Notamacropus eugenii: one gene and its partners. The protein of the gene in region 1 interacts with the protein of each later gene in a pairwise test. Links are inferred from orthologs where the notes say so. Each region holds a gene or a part of one and is shown in the gene's direction. Other genes may lie near its edges.

Region 1 (7,656 bases):
ATGTGGTAGAACTGGGGCTCTACCAGTTCTTTATCCACTAAGCCACCTTGACACATAGTAGGTGCTTAATAAATACTTGTTGGTTGATGTGTGTCCTGATATAAATGTCAAACATTACCTCTGTGAATGGGGTAGTGAAAATTAATTAGATCCCAGCACAGAGTCCTTGAATTTGAGAGCTGACAGGGACTTTGAGTTCATGCAGTCCAATACCCCATTTTACAGATGGGGAAACTTTAATTTGGATGTTCAAAAATTTTTACCTCATGTAAAATGTAAAAAGAAAAGCAGTGGCAGTTGAGGTGTGAACTCTGCCATCTCTTTGCTCTGGAGAGGAGCATTTGAACATCAAAGGACCGTCCATTCTAGCTCTGTGATAACCGACCAATCAACTCTCATTTACATAGCAATTTCAAGTTTACAGAATGTTTTTGGTTAAACTCTTTTGAGATAGAATCCATCTGGAAGAGACTTGAGAGATCAAATAATACAACCTCATCAATTTACAAATGTGGAAACTGAGGCCTAAAGAGGGAGAAACAACTTGCAGGGTTTATTTCACTTTGTGTGTCTTCATATCCACAGCTACTCTCTTAGCACCTGGAATATGATCAGTACTTGATAAATGCTTGGTGATGATTGCTCAGGGTCATAGGTAGTCAGGGGACAAAGCTGGGATTTGTGGTTTTCTTCTCCCTTAAAACCTGTGTCCTTTCCTAAGCTTCATTTTCTCCATTTACTAGAGTAGGACACTGAAATTCAGGTGAAGTAATTCACTCAGGTTTACACAGCAAGTCAGAGTTGGGACTTGAACAGTGGTCTCCTTGGTGTCCCACTCTTTTAGCTATATTATACGCTTGCTCCAATAGGTATGCCTTTTGAATTACAAGTACCTGTACTGTTTTTTTTTTTGGTAGGTGTGTGGGGGGAGTGATTGGTTGTATGACTGTTAATCACATAGATTCCCTAGAAACTGCATAGGAAAACTGGAGTCACTACTGTGACCTATAGAAATGGTTTTCCAGAGAATATGCCTGTGTATAAAAATATTTGCTAGTCTTGGCAAAAACAGCAACAACAACAACATGGAAGCTCAAACTGGCATCTAATAATTTTTGTTAGCTGAGAATAGGCAGAGTAGTCTAATGGGTAGAGATGCAGTCATGGAATAAGGAATACTGGAAGACCTGTCTCTGACATATCCTAGATACCTGACTCTGGAAAAGTCACTGAACTGTTCAGTGTCCCCCCAAATGCTCTAAACTCTAACTTAACAGATCTGTCACGTTGCAGGGTGTTTTGATGTTAAAGTATGTGTGTGGGAAGAAGCAAATTATAGTTTGAGACCAAAAAAGACTTTCAGAGAGCTCATACTGTGACAGTCACACAAAATAAAAACAACTATTCACTTTAAAAGATTCCAAAGGAAACTGAGTCAAAACATACAATTCTGGATAGCAGAAGTGCATATAAAAGAATAGATAAAAACAATATAGTGTTTTAAGGAGCACATCCCTCACTCCTCCCACCCCAAGATAACAGATAGATCTCTATCCTTGGTACTCTTCTTAATGTGGTGAAGTGATAATGTCACATTTTCTTCTGGGATTTCTTCTTTAAATCAAAACTGGAGAAGTTAAACTTGTTCAACTTGTAAGCATCAGACAAACGCCACGCATGTTTCTAATGAGTCATAAATGGTTTGTAAGCAGCCTTGGTTGAGAAAGTTCCCACCTAGACATCCCTGCATGCATATACCATACAGTCTATTGTTATCCATTTGCTGAACAAACATTTACAAGGCACTGGCTTCCAGAAAGATCATTTCCAGGCTTGTAGCATTTTTCCTATGTTAAAATATGGTCCAAATGCACCCTGTGGTTGTAACTACACAAAGTGTTTGTGTTTGTGTGTGTGTGTGTGTGTGTGTGTGTGTGTAACTGAGGCAAATTGGATAATCCAAGAACAAAACTTATTTCTGACTGAATTTAAAGGGTGTGGGTTTGAATTCTGGCTCTGCCATTTACTGTAGGAGTTTGTGCAAGTCACTTCATCTCTCTTAGCCTCAGTTTGTTCCTCTGTAAAATGGGAGGTTGGAGTAGTGAACCTGTATTGTTCCTTTCAGCTCTAAAAGCAGTGACCCAAAAGTCTTAGTGCATTTTAGGGAGCTGTCCTCCCCCCAACCCCCCATATAATCCAAATAGTTGGTGAAAGGTCTTTGGGGAGGAAGATATCCTGAATTATTCCAAAAAGATGTTCACCCTCCTTGATTCTCCATGTGTAAGTAGCCTTTAGTCGAGCCTCCTCATTTTCTAGAGGAGAAAATGAATCGTAGAGAAGTGAGATCACACTGGCAGTGGCCAGAGCAGATTGGAATCCCATTCTTCAATGTAACTTGCAATCCAGCATTTCTCCTTGCAGCTGACCTGGGGGCCACATGCCTTGGACAGCCCCCATTTGGCAGCCAGTCTTCTGGAAAGAAAGCCCTGATTTAGTCAATTAGAAAAAAGCCAAACTGGAGAAGGCTGCCAGATAGGGTTTCAGATATATGGCATGATCTGCCATACCACGCACTAAAGGACACCAGATTTCCAGCCACCTTCAAAAGCTTTATGTTTGGGGAGGATTGTTTTGTTTTCAGAGTCTTACAGGAAAGGCTCAAGCAAGTGGCCAAATCCACTATTTATGGCTATAAAATTGGCTGTCCCATGAACTGTGGGGCGCAGGTCTGGTAAATATGCTCAGAACCTTTGTGAGTTGGGGAATATTGAGAGTTGTTTGGATACTGCCCATCGGTGGAGTCCTCTGTACACAAAGGACCATCCAGCAGACAGAGTGAGGGGTGAGGGGTGGGGCGGAGATCAAATGTTTGGCAGAAAAATCATGCTAAATACAGCATCTCCAAACAGAACCCCCAGGGAAAAAGCTAAAATGGGACTTTTTATTATTCTTCCAGAGCTGAAGTAGGGGCAGGGCGAAAGGTTGTGAAATTCATTTTACTGCAGGGTCTCCTCTCTTCTTTTAAGTCTCTGTCTTCAGTCTCTCGGTTTCTGTGTCTCCTCTTCCTCACCCGTCCCCCACTCCCTCCCTGTCCCTGTCTCTGGGCTCATTGCTGGGTCTCTTATGAAAGCAGATTTGTATCACGGTCCCGGAAACTTAGTTTTTTTCGGAGAGGGAGAGTGCGGGAGGAGATATGATGTTGGGAAGGGTAGGGCTTATTTTTAAAATACACTTTTTTTTGTACCTCAGCAGTGATCTCCCTCTACCCCATGACAATTGGAGGGAGTAAAAGGATCTTAAGAGACCCTCTGATGGGCAGGAAGGAGGGCCTTGAGTATGGCAGGAGTCAGAAGGGAGAAACAGCCGCTTCGCCAAGCGTCAAGCCCCAAATGTATTCCTCCTAGGCTGCCCGAGGCATCTCCATCTCTTTCTATTTCAGTTTGGAGGCGGCTCAAAGTAGGTAGCACGACAGGCAGGGAGTGAGTCGTAGACAGTTCTGGAAAGGGGATAAAACGGGGAGAGGGGGAGGAAGAGTACGGACGAAGGCTTTGCTCCATCCATCGGCATCTACTCTGCTTTTGCATCGCTCCCTCAATCTCTTGCAAGTTTTCTCTTTAGGTGTGATTCACCTGCAGATGGGAACATAGGGCTGGCAGGTGAGGTGTGTGTGTAAGTGTGCGCATGTGTGTGTGTGTGTGTGTGTGTGTGTGTGTGTGTGTGTGTGTGTGTGAAGGCGCACAGCCCTGGCACACTGGGCTGGATACCGGCGGGCAGGGAGCCGCTCTCCTTTGCGGATCCCAGCCTCGGCTAACATTCCTCAACATCTCCGGCGTCTCCAGCTTTGGAGCTGGACAAAGTCAACCGTGAACAGCAGGTTGTTCGCTCGCCTCATTTCATTTCCCCAGGACGGGCGCAACTCCTCCAGGGGCTCACTTCTCCCCGCCTGGAGTGTGCCACCCCACCCACGCCGCGTACCCCATAAATGCTGTCTGGCTAGCTCCGCCTAAAACTCCCTCCCCGGGGGCCAAGGAGGCACTTATCTGCTCTCCTCCTCCGCTGGCTGGAGCTCACTCTGTTTCCTCCCTCCCTGGCTCCCTCTCTGCCTGCCAGCCACAGGACCTCGACCAAGTCCAGTACCCTGCTTCCCTCCCTGTGCCCTCGCCCTCCCCTCATTTTCCCAGTCCTTTCCCACCTCTGGTGGGGCACAAGCTAGCGCTCAGCTCCGCCCCCCTCGCCAGGGCTCCAGGGCTCGTCTCCCCCGCCCCGAGAAGCGGAATCCGCACAGCGAAAGTCTCCAGGGCGCTGGGCGGCCGTCCGACTGGGCATGCTCCGTGGCCCCGCCGGGCTGAGCTCGGGAGTGGGGAGGCAGCAGCGGCGGCGGCGGGAGCGGGAGCGGGAGCGGCGGCGGGCGCGGGGGCCGGGGCCGGGGCTGGGGCCGGGGCAGCCGTAGAGGCAGCCGAAGGAGCAGCAGAGGCTCAGCGGCGGCCGCCGAGGGGGCAGCTCAGGCCGCCCGTCGGGAGTGAGCGGCTACTCGCCGCCCGCTGCCCGCCGCCGCCGCTGCTGCTGCCGCCTGTGCCCGTGCCACTGCCCGTGCCGCTGCCCGTGCCCGGGCTGGGGCCGGGGGCCGGGGGCACCGGGGGGAGCAGGAGCGCCCGCGGCAGCGGCGGCGGCGGGGACTTTGCCCAAAGTTGCGGGGGGCACCGCGCCGCCGAGCCAGCGGGGGCCCGGGGCCAGCCCCAAGGACCAGCAAGCATGGGCACGCTGCGCGACCTGCAGTACGCGCTCCAGGAGAAGATCGAGGAGCTAAGGCAGCGCGATGCGCTCATAGACGAGCTGGAGCTGGAGCTCGACCAGAAGGACGAGCTCATCCAGAAGCTGCAGAACGAGCTGGACAAGTACCGCTCGGTGATCCGGCCCGCCACGCAGCAGGCGCAGCAGGCGGCGCAGGCACAGCAGGCGGCGCAGCCCGGCGGCGGCGCGGGGAGCAGCGGAGGCGAGCCCCGCACCAAGCGCCAGGCTATTTCAGCCGAGCCCACTGCCTTCGACTTGCAGGACCTCAGCCACGTGACGCTGCCCTTCTACCCCAAGAGCCCCCAGTAAGCGGGCTGGGCCCGACCGGGGGAGTTGGGGGGGTGGGGGGAGGCTTGGGCGCTGTCCCCGGGGGGCTGGGAGGGAGGTCAGGCGTTCGCGGGGCTAAGCAGTGCGCTGCCCCGCAGGGAGCTGCCTGGCTGGACGCTCGGGGCTCGTCTGCCTTGCCTAGGGGCGAGCTGCCTGCACGCCTGGCCGCCTTCGCGATAGGGGTTCTCACGGCTGCTTCTCTCTCTCCTTCGCATCTCCCTAAAGAGGGACCCACCGACACTTCTGAATGTCTCAGTCTGTTGCACATCTCCAGTCCTTCCCTCCCTCCTTTCTTCCCTCCCTCACTCATCGGTTGCCTTCCTATCTGCCTCTGCCTTTATATCTGGCAATGACAGTGTCGAGAGGGAAAGAGAGAGGGAGAGAGTACTAGGGACCAACACATAGAGAGACAGAGAAACATAAGACAGAGTGAGGGTCAAAGTGGGCGAAATGGATAAGGAGACCGAAATAAGCGTAAGGAGAGGGACAGAGAGATCTCATTCGGAGAAAGCCGAGAGAAATCCCTTGGAATTGAGGTTTCAGAATGGACAGATGTGTGTATATGTGTGCGTATGTATGTCTGTGCAAAGAGGAAGAAAAGAGTGAACTTTCCTCCTCAGTTATCCAAGTCTCCAAGCAGCCAGAAGTGTCCAGCCGAAAAACCTGAAATGGCCAAGATGAACTAGACCCTCTCTGGTTCACTACGTGAGCCTCTGTACTTGTCTCGAATATCCCTCCATTGTTGACTGATTCATGCCGAAACTATCTGGATCCATGTTTTCTATCATAATTAAGGAATACATTTATCTACTAGGTAGTTCATATTTTTTAAAGGGTTCGATTTCCTGATATAATTTAACTTGCTTCAAGTAAGACAGAGGCAGGCTGCTAATTGTAATTGTTCCTTCTAAGGGAGAACTGTGCTTAGTTCCCGTGGCATAGTTGCTTTCCTACAACGATTGCATTACTTCCAGTGTGAAACGCACATTAGTGTGTCAGATCTGATCACAGTTGTAAATGGACTGGTTGTTGGTCTTCCTGTGACCGTTTTCACTACTTTGATCTGTCTTGTGCTGGCATGTTTTAGCCCTGGATGACTAGCCCTGATCTCAGTGGCATGAGGTAATGTGGAGGGAGGGAAAGAGAGAGAGGGAAAGAGAGAGAGAGAGAGAGAGAGAGAGAGAGAGAGAGAGAGAGAGAGAGAGAGAGAGAGAGAGAGAGAGAGAGAGAGAGAGACACAGAGACAGACAGACAGACAGAGACAGAGACAGAGAGACAGAGAGAGACAGACAGAGAGACAGACAAAGAGACAGAGAGAGATAGAGGAAGGGGAGGGAGAGGATCAGAGGGATAGATTCAGTTGAAATCAGGAAACCAAATCCCACAATTATATAGCATATATACAATAAGAAACAACTGGCCAAGGAAGGATACAGTACTTCAGTAAACATGTGACATGACTGGAGAAGGCAGGATATTGCCATGCTCTATTTTGGCTTTGTTTCTTTCATGTAAAGAATTCCCAGTGTGCCAACTCCTTCTACCAAAGAAGGTTTGCAATTCACCTGTAATTTAAAGAGATAGAGAGTTGAATTGCTGGAGGCAGAGAGATTAAGTGTCTTGCCTAGAGCCACCCAATTAAATGCGTTGGGCGAGGATGGTGTAGCTAAGTTTTTGTCCATTCTGACAGTTTGTTTGCCTGACAGCTCAGGCTTGGCAGTTGGGGGCACCTAAACCCTCTTTAGCATTCTTTGCTACTTTGATTCTCTGCCCTGACTTGCATGCCTGTTTCATGTAATGAGGCACAGAGTGGAACTCAGATCTAGGGCTTTGGTTTTCTAGCCACTACATGGTGCTGCCCTCATCCTATTCCTAGCCATGGAGTACTCGGTAGGTGATGTGTTACATAATACTCCGTATTCCTTTCATTACACATGATACAACAGGTTAATTTAAGGGGAAGGACTGGGTGTTTGCTTTTCCCAGCCTTTACTGATTTGGTAGCTTGGAATATCCTCCTTTATGTCCAATGCCACTGATGCCTTTGTTGCTCATGTAATTAAGGATTGCAATATTCGGTCCTCGACAGCCAACCTCAGTCTGCTCTTCTTGTCCCAGCTTAAGGAAAAACACACATCTGTGAGGGGGTGAGGAGAGTATGGCTAAGTTAAGTGTTTGTCCATGCTGACCTGATTGCTTGCCTGATGTCTCTGGCTTGGAGAGCAGAGTGACCTGCACCCTCTCTAACTTTGTCTGTTAAATTAATTCTCTGCTCTGACATGCATGCCTGTTTCATCTAATGATGTGCAGGGGCTATCTCCCTTCTGGTTCAAGTTTGCATAATGGAAAAGAAGTCCATGGGTATGATTTTCCTGAGCTGATTGTGGAGTGAGGGCAGCCTGAGGCCAGAGCTTCTGTAGGACTTGAGGCTGATGCAGAGGGAACTGTGATTTTGTATTAGGAAGGGGGAAATGGCAGTTGTTTTCAGAAGCCCAGTGATCAATTCAAATGATAAGTAGTGAAATAGTCGGTCAGGGA
Region 2 (7,936 bases), on another chromosome or scaffold:
TAATATTTCTCATTGTCTCACTGAGTCATTGAGTTCTGCTTGCTTCATTCTAATTTTCCATTATTAGGCAAAATTTTTCATCTTCAGCTCTAAGCTATTTATTGTCTTTCCAAATTTTTCTTTCAGAGCTCTTAGGGGATAGGTAGTATTCAATGATATGATTAGTATGGAACAAGCGTGGGGAACCTGCAGCCTCAAGACCATATGTGACCCTCTAGGTCCTCAAGTGCAGCTCTTTGATTGAATCCAAACCTCACAAGGTCATTGAGGACCTAGAGGGCCACATGTGGCCTCAAGAGTGCAGGTTCCCTACCTCTGGTATAGAAAATTGCCAAGTGAAGAAACTACCTTTACCAATGGAGGTCAGCCCCTCCTCTTCAGCTTAGAGTATTATTGTGTAGAGCACAGACAAGGTAAGTGATTTGCCCAGAAGTGGTACTTGAACCCACTTCTGACTGGCTTAAAAGAAAGCTCTCTATCCGGTATGACACCAGAGCTCTTATTTCACTCATGATTTTATTTTTTAACATCTTGCTTCATTTAAACATCATCCCCACATGGTTACCGCTTCTGCTTAGCGCTTGTAGTCCCCATTCCTTCCTTTCAGTCTTTTCTCTTGCAGACTGTGGATGTCTCTTTTAAAACCCCTGTGTATGACTTCACCATCTGCCTTCTGGCTCAGAGATCCCCAAAATGCAGATCAATCTCAGCACAAAGAGGAAATGCCTGTCTCACTGAAGTACAAAACTCAAGTGGCCAGTCAGTTCGCAAAACCTTATTACATATCCATATCTTTATAGATATAGACATAGAGATAGTTTGTTGTTATTTCAGTTTCAGTTGTGTCTGCCTCTTTGTGACCTCATTCTAGGGGTTTTCTTGGCAAAGATACTGGAGTGGTTTGCCATTTCCTTCTCTGACCCATTTTACAGATGAAGAAACTGAGGCCCACAGGGTTAAGCGACTTGTCCAGGGGTCACACAGCTAGTAGTAAGTGTCTGAGGCCAGATTTGAACTCAGGAAGTTGAGTCTTCCTAACTCCAGCCAGGCACTCTATCAACTGCACCACCACCCAGCGTCCCCTACTGCCCTTTACAAGGTTCAAATAGGCCACTCAGAGCCTAGCAGGGGCAAACCTTAATATCTCATCATCTTGGTTGCCTGCCTTTTTACATTCTATAATCTCCCTAGGTAGACTGAGAAGACTCAATTGCTCCCCTGATCATTCCCCCAAACACTTTTGATTTTTCCAAGCATTTTAACAAATGGTACTCCATTGTGTCCCTGGAAGTTATATAGCATAAACTTGAGAGTGTGGTGCTCTACTTCAGAATCTAGACTGACACCTCTGTACATGCTGCAAGTGCTTAGTGTAGGTAAGGGCTGGATGGCACTGGGAGCAGGGACTGAGTTTTCATTCATTAAAGAAGAATTATTTGTATTGTCCTGAGACTTTCTAACTCAACAGCTTATCTTGAGCTTCATTTATCCTTCTGCCATCTGCTCCCCTCCCGCTTACATGCAGCACTAGTGGTTTCTTTTGTCTAACTAAATTTGCCAATAGTTGATCATTTTTCTTGTCGTGGTCATAATATTTACGTTCCATGTGGCAGGCTCTTCTAGGGCTTGGCAGAAAAATTATTTTCTGGGTTTTTCTCATTTTTTTTCAAGGCTTTATTTGTCTAGAGAAAGACTTTTCTAAAACAAGATAACTGTTCTTTCAGCTCTCCTCAGACGTCTAGCACCGTGCCTGGTATATTGTAGTGGCCTAATAAATGTTTATTTACTGACTCTCAGTAGTGCTGGTTGCATAGATATTGAATGTTAGAATCACTTAAAGCTTTCAATATTACTGCTGAGTCTTTATATCAGCTGAGGTAGCAAGACTGGAAATATGAAATGGAAGTTAAGTGGCACAGTGGACAGATCAATGAGTGTGGAAACAGGAAGACTCGTGTTCCTGAGTCTTACACTTACTAGCTGTGTGACCTTGGGCAAGTCACTCAACCCTGTTTACCTCAGTTCCTCATCTAGAAAATGAGCTGGAGAAGGAAATGGCAAACCATTCCAGTACCTTTGCCAAGAAAACCCCAAATGGGGCCACAAAGGATCAGACAGGACTGAAATGACTCAACCACCATCATTATAACACCCACCACAAAAAATTTAGCCAATTTTACTCCTTAATTCTGCAACTATTACCAAGCCAACTTTTAACCTGTTTTCTTAGGCTTTTCTCCTCTGTTAAAAATTTTTGCTCTAAAATTCATGATCTATCCTTTGACCATTCTTTGGCACAAACTCCCAAGAAGGACAAAGAGTAAAAGAAAATTCCTGTACACACCAAAATATTCATAACAGCAAGAATCAGTGTAATTTAGTGTATGCATATATATACATAGTGTATATGTATATGGGAAAACCGCCCAGTGGCCAAGTGGGATGATGGGAAGTGATGGCCAAGGAGGGATATTTTTGGTTTGGGTTGATTTGGAGCATTTTTTTGTATTGGGTTTCTTCCCTAGGAACTATATGTTCAATTTCGTAGACTGGCAAGTATGTTGTCGCTACTCAATTACACTGATTGAGCTCCCTATTTTTTAACTGGGATGAAAGAGTTTTGAGAATTACAGCTCTGTAGTATAAACTGAGGCATAGCTAAGCCCCCTTTGTTCCTATTTCTTTTCATCATTTCAAAATGATGAAAAAAAATGCTCCAAATCATTACTAATTGGAGAAATGCAGATTAAAGCAGTTCTGAGGTTCTGCTTCATATTCATCAGATTAGCAAAAATTATCTAAAGTATGATAAATGTTGGAGGGCCTATGGGGAAATGGACACATAGATGCACTCTTCGTGGACCTGTGAATGGGTACAACCATTCTGGGAAGCAATTCAAAATTAAACACAAAAAATTACTAAGGAGTCCTTCGACCCAGCTATACCACGGCTAGGCCTGCACTCAAAAAGAATGAAATAGGAACACAACACAGAATTGGAGACCTCCCTCCAGGGTGACATTGCATACACTACAGACCACTTGAAATGAAAGGGAAAATAGAGAAGAAATTAAGAAAACAGATCACAAGCCTGGCACATGACATAATAGTGATGAGGTGTGGGGGTGGGGGACAACCTTCTATTATTTGGACATCTGCTGGCAAATTCTCTCCTCCTAAAGCAGAGAAGTCAATAATTTATTGATTTACCTTAGCGATGATTTTGTCCTTCAAAAAGTAGAGAAAACAAGGAGGAAAAAGTTCTATTCCTCTCCACCAAGGAGGGACCATTTGCTAGAGTGGCAATACCTGTCATCTTTTAGGCAATTGACACTCATTCTTTCCACAGGTAAAGACAACATATCCCTGATGTGCTAAGGAGGAGAATTATGCCATTTAATTAAATGGTTTTTCTTTTTAAGTAATGTGTCCTTTGACTTGCTTACTGGCAAAAGTATATCCAGTGGGGGCTGGGAGATGGTTGCTTTTAAGCTATGATTTAGAGTGGTTGCTAACTCACAGAATGTCTCCAGACTGGGAAAACTCTGCTAAGGGTCCAGGTGCTACAGAAACAGCACCGATCTTCAGGATACAAAGTCCTTTGCAGGCATTCCCTTATTCAACTTCATCAGGTCCCTTGGCCAATCCATTTTACCAGCTTAAAGTGAAGAATTTGGTTTAAGCTTTCCCCAGAGTGTTAGTAAGAAATAAAAAGCAGAACCAAGTTTCCTACCTGCACATAAAGGCAGTCTTTAGAGAAATATCCAAGTCCTGCAGGACTTACACAATATGATATTATGGACATCATCATTGGGTAATTTAAATGAACTCGAGCTTACCAGCTGGGGGTGAGTACTACCCTGACCTCTGGAGGGCTTTTCCAGCTGAAGAGTCTGCACTAATTATCCTCAGAGTAGCCTCCCACTTATTAGAGTTTTTTCTCTGGGGTTCAAGGTGATTTACTGATAATGGTGATCTCATTAATACAACAAACCCTGGAGACAAGCATGATCCCTGTTTGTTTGTTTTAAAGAATGCTTTTTTTTAAAAATCAAGACAAATTAAGATAGAGAGGGGAACAGTTTTGTGGGATAAATAGCAGACTGATCTTGAAAGAGGGAATAATGAATTCAGTGTTGCAAACTATGAAGAAAAAAAAGAAGAAAAACTTACCTAGATGTCAAACCGGGTCACTGGAGCATCTTATCTTGACTTCAAAGTTCTGCCTCTATATCAAACTTGGGATTTGGGGAGACCTGGGGGGCTTAGTGTAAATTCCCTGATAGACGTTGATAGAAGAACCCACCTTCCTGCTCCCCTTCATAGCATTTGGAGCTAGAAGAGAATTGAGCAGCCCTATTTAGTCCAATCCTTTCATTTTGCAGATAAGGAAATCAAGGCATGCCACCACAGATTTAGAGCTGGATGGAACTTTACAGGCCATTGACTTCCACTCCACTCATTTGGACCACATCATAGCTTTAGAGCTACATGGATATTTGAGGCCAACCCTATTCATTTTGCAGAAAGGGAAACTGAAGCACAGAGTAATTTGCCCAGGATTACACACAGAGGAAATGAACGGGAGGGATTTGAACTCAGATCCTCTTACCTCCAACACCCTACGCATGACAGCCTGTTCGTTCTCTTAACACAAAGAATCTTTGAGCTGAGGGATGCTACGGACAGGAGGGAAAACGTACACCGCGAAGGCAGCACACGAACCAGACACACACAAGCACCCTCGCAGAGAGCTGGGAGGGAGGAGCGTGGCCATAGAGGCAGGAGAGGAGGTGGGAGGGGATGGGAAGGGGTGGGGGGAGGAGGAGGAGGAGGGGGAGGAGGGCGGGGGACGCTCTGACACCCAGTGTGCACAGCCTAGCGAGGAGAAAGAAGGAGGCGGAGAGAGGAGGCGAAGGCGCCGGCCGCTGTCGCAGCCCGAGCGCCTCTGCGAGAGGGGCGATCGGAGAGCAGGGAGCGAGCGCTGTCCGGGGACAGCACCCAGGCGGGACCCAGTGGGCGGGGAGGAAGGAAAGGATAATGCCACCGCTGCTGCTGCTGCCACCCCGGGACACCCAGGAGTCGTGACTCGATCCTGCCATGGACCCGAAGGCGGGCGCGGGCGAGGAGGAGGAGGATGACTGTGTGGACTCGGGAGCTGAGACCGGCGGGTGAGCAGGGCTGGGGGGGATACGGATCTCGGAGCTCAACTGGGGCGCCGGGGAGCGAGCGCGCAGGCTCAGCTGGAGCTGGAGATGCGAAAAGGGGGGCGGCAGGGGCTTCCCCAAGCTCGGGGCGGGGGAGCAAGCGTCGGAAGGGCGCGGGTCCGGGGACGGCGGGGTCCCCCATCCATCCTTGGACCGCTCTACTCCACCATGGGAGTGAGGGGCGAGCTAGAGTGGAGTAGGGAGAGTTTACATGTGGGGGTTACCTTGCTCTCGGGCTGGGCTGTAGATCAAGCCAGCACCTCCATGGGGAAAGACCAGTCTTTCTCGAGAAGCAGAAGTTTTAGGGGGGTCGGTGACAGTTACTAGGGAAGGAGGGCCCCAGTGCCCAAGCTGATGCGGAGGGGAGGCTGGGACCTGCTGTCGGGGCCTGGGGATAGGTGAGCCCACTTGTGTTGGGGAGAGAGTCTAGGAGTGGGTCTCGAGGGCAAAGAGAGCTCTTTTACCGCCCCCTCCCCCACCCTCTGTCCCCTGCCTCTGAACCTCCTATTAAGAGGGGAAGGAGATGCCGCTGCACTTGTTGCTGCCCTGGACTGGCTTTCTTCTTGCCCAAACTCCTAAATTTTGTCTGGAATGTGTGGGTTAGGGTTAGAAAAGACTGCTCTCATCTGCCCCTTACACACACACACACACACACACACACACACACACACACACACACACACATTTATGTTTGTGCGTATATATATATATATACATACATGTGGATGTGGATGTGTATAGTTCTATGTATGCATACGTTAGATACGACAAATCAGGGTATTTTTTGTCTTTGTCTGGCTTTAGAGAGGGGCTTTAGTGCAGACTTCCTGGCCATCCCCTCCCCCAAGTCCTCCCCACCTCAGTTGAATCATTAGAGTGTCTCCCTCCCTTCCTGAGTCACAGACTGTCAACTTTTGAGATAAAGGGGAGGTGGACAAACCTAGTACAATACACTTTTGATTATTTAAATGACATATCATTTCCTATCAGTCAGCAAAATAAAATAATTAGCTCAAAATATCAGTGGAAGAATAATTACTCTTTTCCTAATCACCACTGTTTTCCTGCCCGTAGGACAAAAGGCTGAATGCTATTGCCAGGGCTCCCTACCCAGCTCCTATCTCGAACTGGACTTCCCAGTGCCTCCCCTGCCCAGTCCTCAGGATACAGCTATCGACCTGGGATGACCCGGAGGGGAAAGGGTGGCATCTCTGCTGGAGGAGGCTTGAGGGACGGAGATCTGCTTATGAATCTCATTATGTCCAAACTAGAGAATGAGCCTGGAGCCATAAGAACTCACTCTAGGGTTTGGCTGAACTGCAGGAACTGGGGGAGTTCCTGGAGAGTCCAAGTCTTAGAATGACTGGAGTATTTAGCACTGGAGTTGAACTAGCCTGAGGCTGCGCGCTTTTCTTGTACTTACCATCCCAAACTGAGAAATTTAACCCTCCTGGTGTTGACTGTGCTGGGGACTTCCCTGTTAGTGTTCAACTTTGGTTTCAAAAACTAAATGTAATCAAAAGAGACAATGTAATTTCTAATTTTAAGCTCTTTTGTTATTTTTGTAAATTTGTGAAGTTTATCAACTTTTATTTTAGGGTTTTTGACCTGGAATGTGAATCCAAGAAACCATAATAAGCATCCTATTCTTAGTTCTTTCAAACTGACATTTCAATTCGCTTCCAATTATAATTTCTACTTAAAACAGACAAAAAGGGAGCTTAGCTAGGCTGATGGAAGGCGCTGACCCAGATGGTGACATTATCTTCTAGACTTAGACAGTCAGCAGGACATCTGCTTATGTCTGCCAGCAATGGGCTGTTAATGCCCATTGGGCATGAATGGGCTAGTGGTTTATTGGAGCTCTTTAGAGACTGTGGTACTAAAACTGTGACTGCCATGGGGCAGGCTTAGGTGAAGAATTTTTGTTTTCAGTATCATTCTTAAACTTTGAAGAGAGAAGTGAAAAAGATAACATCTTTTTATATCTTCTTATGTCTAAGTAAGATATCATTAGGTATATTTATTAGGTTGCCTGATCTTTGACACATAGACTTTATTTTCTCCTCTTTTAAACGAGTATTGGTATTTCAGTCTTAGTTTTGTCACCAAAAGCACTATTTCTAGTTTCTGTATTTTTTTTTTCAGTTCTTTGTCACAAAGCAAAATTCCTTTGGCCAGATCTACCCTTTATACTTCTCTCCAATAATTATTGGCTTCTTCAGAATTCAAGTCTGTTTTCTGGGGTCTTAGTCAAGAAACAAATTTTGTTAACTTTTGGGTTGAGTTTAGGGGGATTCACCTCCTGAAAGCTTCCACAGCAATTTTCTTACATAGTTTCATGGAGGCCTGTGACTTCATTCCCTCTGGTTTCAAAACTTCCTCCTCCAATGAATCAGTAGCCCATCTATAATATAGTTTTAAAGAGTGTGATTTGCCCATGTTCATACAATTCATGTGTTAGAACCTATCCTTGAATTATAATCAATACTGCCATTACCTCTGGGAACAGACTGCCCTATCATTCCATACAATGTTTTTGTGACTTCTCAGACCATAGTTCCATGCTTTGACCTCCCTCCACTATCTGTGTTGCTCTCCCACTAAATATAAGATCCTTGATCTCTTTCATTTGTAATCTTTTTCTTTCTCACTCGTTCCATCTTCTGCTTTTTAATGAGACATGACTCCGTCCTGATGACATGGCTTCCCCACCACCTTTTCCAGTA
Region 3 (7,528 bases), on another chromosome or scaffold:
TCAATGTGTACTAATTATTCAATACAAAAGTCACTGGACTTTGAGTCAGGAATCTTGGATTCAAATCCTGGCTCAGACATTTAAAGGCCACATGATGGGCAAATCCCTTGACCTCTCTTGGACAGAGTTTCCTTACCTATAAAAACGAGGATAATAAATTTCTACTATTTTCACAGTATTACTGTAAAGGAAAAAGATTATTAAGCATTAAGATACTTTAAGAACCTGCATTGTTATCACTATATTGTTTAAGCTTTGTGTGTCTAGACTTCCTCACTAGGCTAGGACTCTCTTTTCTCTTGTATACCCCAAGAATAGTGCCTTGCCCAAATAGGTTGTCAGTGATTTGTTGACTGATACATGTATGAGATCATAGTAAAGCAAGATCTTCTCTTTCCCTAGGCCTCAGCTAACTCATCTTTAAAATAGATGGTTCGGACTAAATTATCTCCTTCCTTCCAGAATTAAAATCCTATGATTCACTCATGAACAATTTTGGCAGTGCTGGAGTGAGTGGATGACTTAGACTAAGGCACATATGTTAAAGAGAAGGGAGAGAGAAAATCAAATGAGATGCAAGATGACAGTCTGTGCCAAACTTGTCCTCTAGAACTTTGGAGCTCTGGGTGTTGGGACAGAAGGAATGAGCTCTTTGGTATTTCAACTGCCTACCTTTGTATATAGCATTATCTGAATTGAAGAACTATATCATTTAGCTCTAACAAGGCACTTTGAAGATAACTAGTCCAGGGATGGGAAACCTGCAGCCTTGAGGTGACAGTGGCCTTCTAAGATCCTTAAATGTGGCCTTTTGACTGAATCTGAATTTTACACAAATTTTACCTTTTAAAGGATTTGTTCTGTAAAGTCTAGATTCAGTCAAAAGGCTGAACTTAAGCATCTAGAAGGCCACAGGTTGCCCACCCCTGATCTAGTCCAACCTTTTCACTTTACAGATGAGGAAAATGAGGTCTAAGTAGATTTGGTGCCTTCACCAACTTCACACCTTTAGTCAAGGATAGCGATGATTTGTTTCCTATTATATCTGACAATTTCTTCGGCACAGAGGATATGAGACTGGGCAAACAGAATTCAGTAAAGATGAGGATGGGAAAGAAGGATGTTGGGGGAGAATCAAGGGTTGGAAGGTATGACCATGGTCTTGAGGTTATTTCAAAGGGGTAAGGAGGATGGCAAGCACTTATTTACCTGTTCCCTACCCCCTCGAACCTGTGTCTAGGACTGGGCAGCAGAAGATACAGGTTTGAACCCAGCTGCGCCACTTTCTACCTGGCTCTCCCGGCTTGTTTCTTCTTATCTCATCCCCACCATCCATTTCCTGACCTGTCCAATGAGGAATCCCTGGATCACAGATTCAGAGAACTCAACTGGGAACCAAAGCCTAGTGGTAGAAACAGTGACTTGTCTTAGTGCCTGGACCTAAAGGATCCCCAAGGCCCGGGGTGGCCTTGACGCCGGTGACCCTGCGGGAAGCCCGAGGCGAGAGCTTTGGATGAGTGGAAACGAATCTTCTCAAGAACCATCTCTCTGGCCCTTTCAGGCAGAGCAGCGGCCAGAAATCCCAATTCCTCGGCAGCTCCTGGTCCCAGCCTCGGACTGCGGCTCCCGGGGCGGGGCGGAGGGCGTCACCAAACCCAGGACGAGACGCCCACCTCCCCAGATGACCCAGCCCCGCCTTCCTACCCAGGCTGGAGCGCCAGCTGTCCGCGGAGAAGCTCCCCCCCTCCCCCCGCCCCGCCAGGGTTGGGCTCTAGGACCCAGGGAAGGCTGAAGTGAAAACCCTCTCCAGCCCCAGAGCCTCCTCACAAAGCCCGACCCCGACAGGCCGGGACAGGTCCTAGGGGAGGTGCAGACGAGTCCGGCTCTAGGACCGCGGCCGGGCCGGGCGGAGCGGCGGGAGGCGGGGTCGGGGAGAGCAGCGAGGGCAGTTTAAAAAGGGAGCGCCCGGCTGCGGCGGCGGCCTTGGGGGAGAGGGGGAGGACCGGCGCAAGCCCGGGCAGCCCAGGGCCGGAGGAGGGGCGGTTCCCCCCCTCACCCCCCGCCCGGGCTGGACGGCGGCCGCGCTCCTCCCCCGCCGGGGCTCCACAGAGGGGGCTTCACTGGGGGACAAGGAATAAAAGAATCCACGGGTTTGTTCTAATGTGTAAAGCTGAAGGGGCACAAAGAAACCTTGGCGTCCACTCCCCTCGTTTGGCACTCCCAGGGTAGGGATTCGCATCCAGATCTCAGGCCTTGGCGCTGCGCCGCCAGGTCACTGACGACCTTGGCTGAGTCCCTTCGGCAGGGCCTCTTCAGTATAAATGGGGCGGGGGGGGGGGGGGGGGGCCGTCAACGGTGCCTCTGTCCCTTCGTCTGCTAAACCGGACGGACGGACCGCCCCGGAGGTCCCTTCCAGCTCTAGCTCCCGCGCCTCCCATTCCCCTCCCGGCGCTCACGCTACGGCCTGATGTGGCGATCGGGAAGGAGGGGTCTGCGGGAGCAGGGGGGAGGAGGTTAGGGTTCGCGTGAGGAGGCGACCCCGGGAGTGCTGCGAAGGGCCGCGAGGCCAAGGGACAAAGACGAGCAAGATGGCGGTCTTTAGGACCGGGGGAGGGGCGGCCGTGGAGAAGGCCGAGCCTTCCCCAGCGGCGCCCGAGGCGGGTTTAGGAGGGGCGGGCGCTGGAGACCTCAGGGGTGCTGGGGGCCGAGTCACCGAAGGAGGCTGGAGGGCGTGGAGGGAGGGGGGAGGACGCTGGCGGCTGTTATAACCTGGACAAAAGAGAGGCCTATAAAATGGCGGTCACTAGGACCGGGGACAGAGGACATCCAGTCCCTGCTGCCCAACACGCGGAGTCCAGCAGCGAAGCGGAGAGCCGCATGCAGCGAGCCTCACCCCCGGGCCCGGCACCCGGCTCGGAAGCCAAAGGAGCAGCCGTGCCGTGCCGCGCCGCACAAAGGCATGCAAAATGGCGGTCTCTAGGACCATGCTGGGCCGGGGCACAGCGGCGGGAGCGGTGGTAATCCCGGGACGCCGCACAGTAGAGCAGCAGGGGTGTGTGAATGAATGAAAGGGGGCGGGGGGGGGCGGACTGTCAAAGGTTTTACCTGCCTCGGGGCTCAGGGTCAAGGAAGCGTCCCCGTCTCAACAAAATGTCAGACCTCAGTGGACCATGAAAAAGCATCTGGTCTACATAAACACACATACCCCCTCCCATTTTACGGATGGGAAAACTGAGTCCATCTATGGCGTCCCGAAACAATGGGACTTCCATGACCCAAGTTCCACGGGGCGCGTTCCAGGGTCGCAATCATGGCTCTTACCTGGGGGAGCCTGATGCTCTCTCGGCTGCAGTAGTTCCAGAGGACAGAGCCGGGGCTCCCGCTAGAAATAGAGCAGGCGCTAGGACCCAGCGGGGGAGGTGGGAGGAGAGCAAGGTACCGGAAGTGGAGGTATTCTCCCGCTAAGAGGGAGGGGGAAGGGTTTAGGCGGAGCCCCAAAGAGAGAAAGAGTGGAGAAAACGTATTTGACTCAGAGTAGGCGGGCACCAACGGAAATGAAATCAGAGAGGGTTCGGAAGCAGTATCGGGGGTGTTCGTTTGCGGGTAAAACCCTCGGAAGTGAAGTCGAGGACCAAGCGGATCCCCACAGCCGTCATTGGGTGGGGAAAGATTTAGGCGAGGCACAAGGACTTGAAGCACGCCACACTTCCGGTGACTACTTCTGTCATGTAACTTAGAAGGTAACGTCACCGGAAGAGGAAGATCACTAACCAAGGTGGGGGGACCCTATAAGAAGTGTCACCAGCTATTAGTAGAGAGAGCCATTTGTCTAAGGATCCACCTGACCTGGAGCGTGTAACAGGGGCAATCATTTGCCGTTCTTAGAAAAATGTATGGCGGGAACTCTTTTAGCTGTACCCTACCGGATGTGCCGTTTAACAGTCATTGGACAAACGGAAGTATGCCTAGCGATGTGGGCGGGGCTAGTATTGTGCCTTGGATACCGTTCCCTGACATCAGAAACGGAGAGGTCTCATTGGGCAGGCCGAAAAGAAGGGAAAGTGCTACCGGGGCGGGTTTGGCGGAGGTTAGTTGGGAAGCCTTTGCGAAGCGAACACTTCCTGTTTCCTAGTAACAATAGGAAGTGTCCGCGGAGCCGGGGGAGACCTCGGGCTCGTGCCAGCTGAGCTCCCTTTCCTTTCCCCCTCCTTCCCCTTCCCTTTTCCCTCCCCACTTTCCCTTCCTCCCCTTCCTTGGCTTCCTGGCCCGAGCGCGCTTGCGCGTGGGTGAGAGACCCTTCCCCCCCCTCCTGGGGGGGGGACTTGAGTGGGCATCGGGCGACTGACTACTCTCCTCCTCCCCCTCCCCCATCCCCTGCCTACCTCGCAGAGTTCTTCGGCGGTTGAGGGGGGGATTCTGGGGGAGGAGGAGGAGTAGTGGGCTTCATTTTGCGCACGCGCGAACGGCCCATCAGCCTCCGTGAGACTCGGACCCCCCCAGCCCCCCTAGTCCCGTCCGACCGTTGCCCTATACGAACGCAACCTGGTTGTCGTCCTCCACATCCTCCGACCTCCCTCCCCACCCCCACCCCCAATTTAACTCTCAGTCCCTAGGGAAACGAAGGACTTTGGGCCCCTCCCAGTCAAGTGGCGAGCTGGAGGCTGGGAGCTCAGAAAGGGACCAGCGTCCTCTCCCCGCCCCCAGAGAGGCCAGGCGAGGTGAGGGAGGGGAGGGGACTTGAGGGCCTGAAGGGCTGGGCTGGGTGGGGGTGGGGGGCAAGGGGGGCACAAGAAGGGGTTGGGGATAGTGGGAGGCCGGAAGGTGGAGGAGTCACTATTGGCAGCCGCGGGGGAGGGGGCACCCAAGACCTTCCATTCTGGTCTGAAGGCCCTGTAGAGAAAGTGGAACCCTGATGTCTCCATTCAAGTTGTCTCCTCGAGATCTGCGGTTGAGATTGATCTAAGAGAAGAACAGGACTGTGGGGTCCACTTGGGGCAGCCAGAAGAAAGGGCCTTTTGAAGCAGAGACAGGGCTGAAATCAGAGGTGTGTGTACTTGTGTATATGTGCGTGTACTTGTGAAGTATATGGTGAAGGCCAAGAGTGGGAAAGAGGTCTAGAGGGGGGAAAGTAATAGATTGACTGAGGAAGAGGGGAAAAAATATAGGGAGATAAGAACAGGAGGCAGAAGGGAAGTTGGGAACTACCTGGTTATAGTGAAAGGAGAATGAGACTAAGAATCAGGAGATTCAAGACTCTCTAACTTTGCCACTTAATCAACTGTTCGTCCTTAGCCAAGTCATCTTTCTGGGGCTTGCTTACTGTCTATAATAAAGGAGGGAATGATAAAATTTGTACTCCCTACTTTACAGAGTTATTGTGAGGATAATATGAAAAAGGATAAGTGAACTCAAAATCTTTTTAAAAAAATACCTATAAAGTGTTTATTAGGTGGGAAACTAGGTGGGAGTGCATGATTAGCAAAGGATTAAGAATAAAAGAAGAAAGGAGGGGAGGTGATAGGAATGGGTAGATAAAATATGAAGTTAGTAAAATATGAGGCTGGAGTAGTAAAATGGTTAAGAGGAAAGTGGCGAGTATAGGTAGCTTAAAGAGGCAAGTCTTTACCTGAACAGTGAGTCCTGATTTTTTTTTTACCTAACAGATTCTCAACTGGAGTATAGTGATAGAGAGAGGCTCTGACTTGGATCCCCAGCAGCCCATGTAAGGTATTATTAGTGTGACTACATCTAAAGTCATGATTTTAGCTTGGGTGGTAAAAAGTGAGCTTTATTCTTAACCAAAGACTTTAGAGAGAGAAAACTTGAGAGAGGTAAAAACCAGTTCATTGTGTCCGGAGAAAGATGATTTCCCATTTTAGATCTATAAGAGGGTGGGGAGAGGGGCACCAAGTTCAACTGGATTCAGTTTGGGGAGGATATTAAAGAAAAAAGGAAAGGGTTTTTTGGGTTGTGATGCCAACTATAGCTAAGAGGTCTCAGTACTGAACTTTTAAGTTTAGAAGAGATCAAAAGTAACAGAAATTTCTGCCTTTGATCCAGGGAAACATTTGGTTTTAAGGCAGTATCTCAGGTTCTTGCCCCATCTCTGTTTTCCTCTGGGGAAAATTGAGATGATGGGTTCCATTTGCTCAGATGGAAATAGGACTTTGATTTGATCAGATGGAATGCAGGACCTGAAGTACTTTTTCACATACTACCTAATGGACAAGCTCATTTAAGCAGTGAGTTACATTCTCAATTCCTTTCTTAATATTTCCTTTTTTATATTCTAGTCTTTTTGCTGCTTTCTCCAGAGCAAGAAGATGGTATTATCACCTGCCTGTGTTTCCTGAGCACTCTGCAGTTTACCTTGCTGCCTCATGGAGGATACCCCTGCCTTGATCAGCTGCCCTGATTGTCAGCGTCATTTCCCCAGCCTCCCAGAACTAGCACGTCACCGTGAGCTGCTCCATCACTCTCCTCCAAACAGGAATGGTGATGAGGCTGATGGGATCCCTCGGCCATACCGGTGTGCACAGTGTGGGCGGGGTTATCGTCATGCAGGTAGTCTGGTCAATCACCGACGGACCCATGAGATTGGCCGCTTTCCTTGTACCACATGCAACAAGGACTTCTCCAATCCTATGGCCCTCAAGAGTCACCTGAGGACTCATGCCCCTGAGGGCCGCAGGAGGCACAGGCCCCCCCGCCACAAAGAGCCCACATCGTATAGCCAGGGTCAAATGACTGCCACTGACATTTGGGGGGGTACGCCTGGTCCTGGGGAAAACTGGAACAACCAGACGAGCCATGGACAAAGTACACATGTATGGGAGGCTGGGCCTGATCCTGCAGAGGCCGCTAGTACCTGGGAGAAGCCACCTGGACACAAAGATGGCTGGGAGAACAGGACAGATTCTAAGGAGAGTATAGAGGGATGGGGAAATACATCAGGTCCCACAGAGGCCCCTGCTCTTCCTGCTCCAGCCAATAGCCTTCTCAGCAATTTAGAGCAGTACTTAGCTGAATCCATGGTGGATTTCACAGGGAATGAGAGACCACCTCAGTCACCTCCTACTGAGGATGAACGTCGATATAAGTGTGGACAATGTGGCAAAGCCTATAAACATGCAGGGAGTTTAACCAACCACCGTCAGAGCCATGCTTTAGGCATTTACCCCTGTGCTGTATGTTTCAAGGAATTTTCCAACCTTATGGCCCTAAAGAATCATTCTAGGTTACATGCTCAGTATAGGCCTTACCAGTGTCCTCGATGCCCCCGGGCTTTCCGACTGCCGAGTGAATTGTTGGGACACCAACAAGCCCATGAGGGAGAAGGGAAGGAACTATCATGGGAAGAAAAAGGAGAGCCATCTGCCAATGGCCCTGGAGAAAGTGGTTGTGATAAAAATCAGCTTCATGGTACCAAGGACTTTAATGCCTCTGGGGAATTCAACACTTCTGGAGATCTTGATGCTGGGGAGCTTAATGAGGGTGGAGTAGAAGAATATAGGCCTTTCCGTTGTGC

What was found.
Region 2: the proteins of PRKG1 (region 1) and FAM124A interact in binary tests that used the Homo sapiens proteins (3 or more experiments, as listed by UniProt). The two-hybrid records come from large-scale screens. The link is inferred for Notamacropus eugenii from reciprocal best matches to the Homo sapiens genes PRKG1 and FAM124A.
Region 3: the proteins of PRKG1 (region 1) and ZNF646 interact in binary tests that used the Homo sapiens proteins (3 or more experiments, as listed by UniProt). The two-hybrid records come from large-scale screens. The link is inferred for Notamacropus eugenii from reciprocal best matches to the Homo sapiens genes PRKG1 and ZNF646.

The regions. Positions count from the first base shown.
Region 1 is NC_092872.1:278,293,728-278,301,383, reverse strand, and holds the start of PRKG1 (cGMP-dependent protein kinase 1), read left to right. Parts: upstream 1-4,648; 5' UTR 4,649-4,752; coding exon 4,753-5,096; intron 5,097-7,656. UniProt on the Homo sapiens protein: Serine/threonine protein kinase that acts as a key mediator of the nitric oxide (NO)/cGMP signaling pathway. GMP binding activates PRKG1, which phosphorylates serines and threonines on many cellular proteins.
Region 2 is NC_092876.1:104,753,512-104,761,447, reverse strand, and holds the start of FAM124A (protein FAM124A), read left to right. Parts: upstream 1-4,860; 5' UTR 4,861-5,100; coding exon 5,101-5,171; intron 5,172-7,936.
Region 3 is NC_092874.1:377,654,232-377,661,759, reverse strand, and holds the start of ZNF646 (zinc finger protein 646), read left to right. Parts: upstream 1-4,452; 5' UTR 4,453-4,718; intron 4,719-4,887; exon of another isoform or gene 4,888-5,044; intron 5,045-5,663; exon of another isoform or gene 5,664-5,727; intron 5,728-6,293; 5' UTR 6,294-6,380; coding exon 6,381-7,528. UniProt on the Homo sapiens protein: May be involved in transcriptional regulation.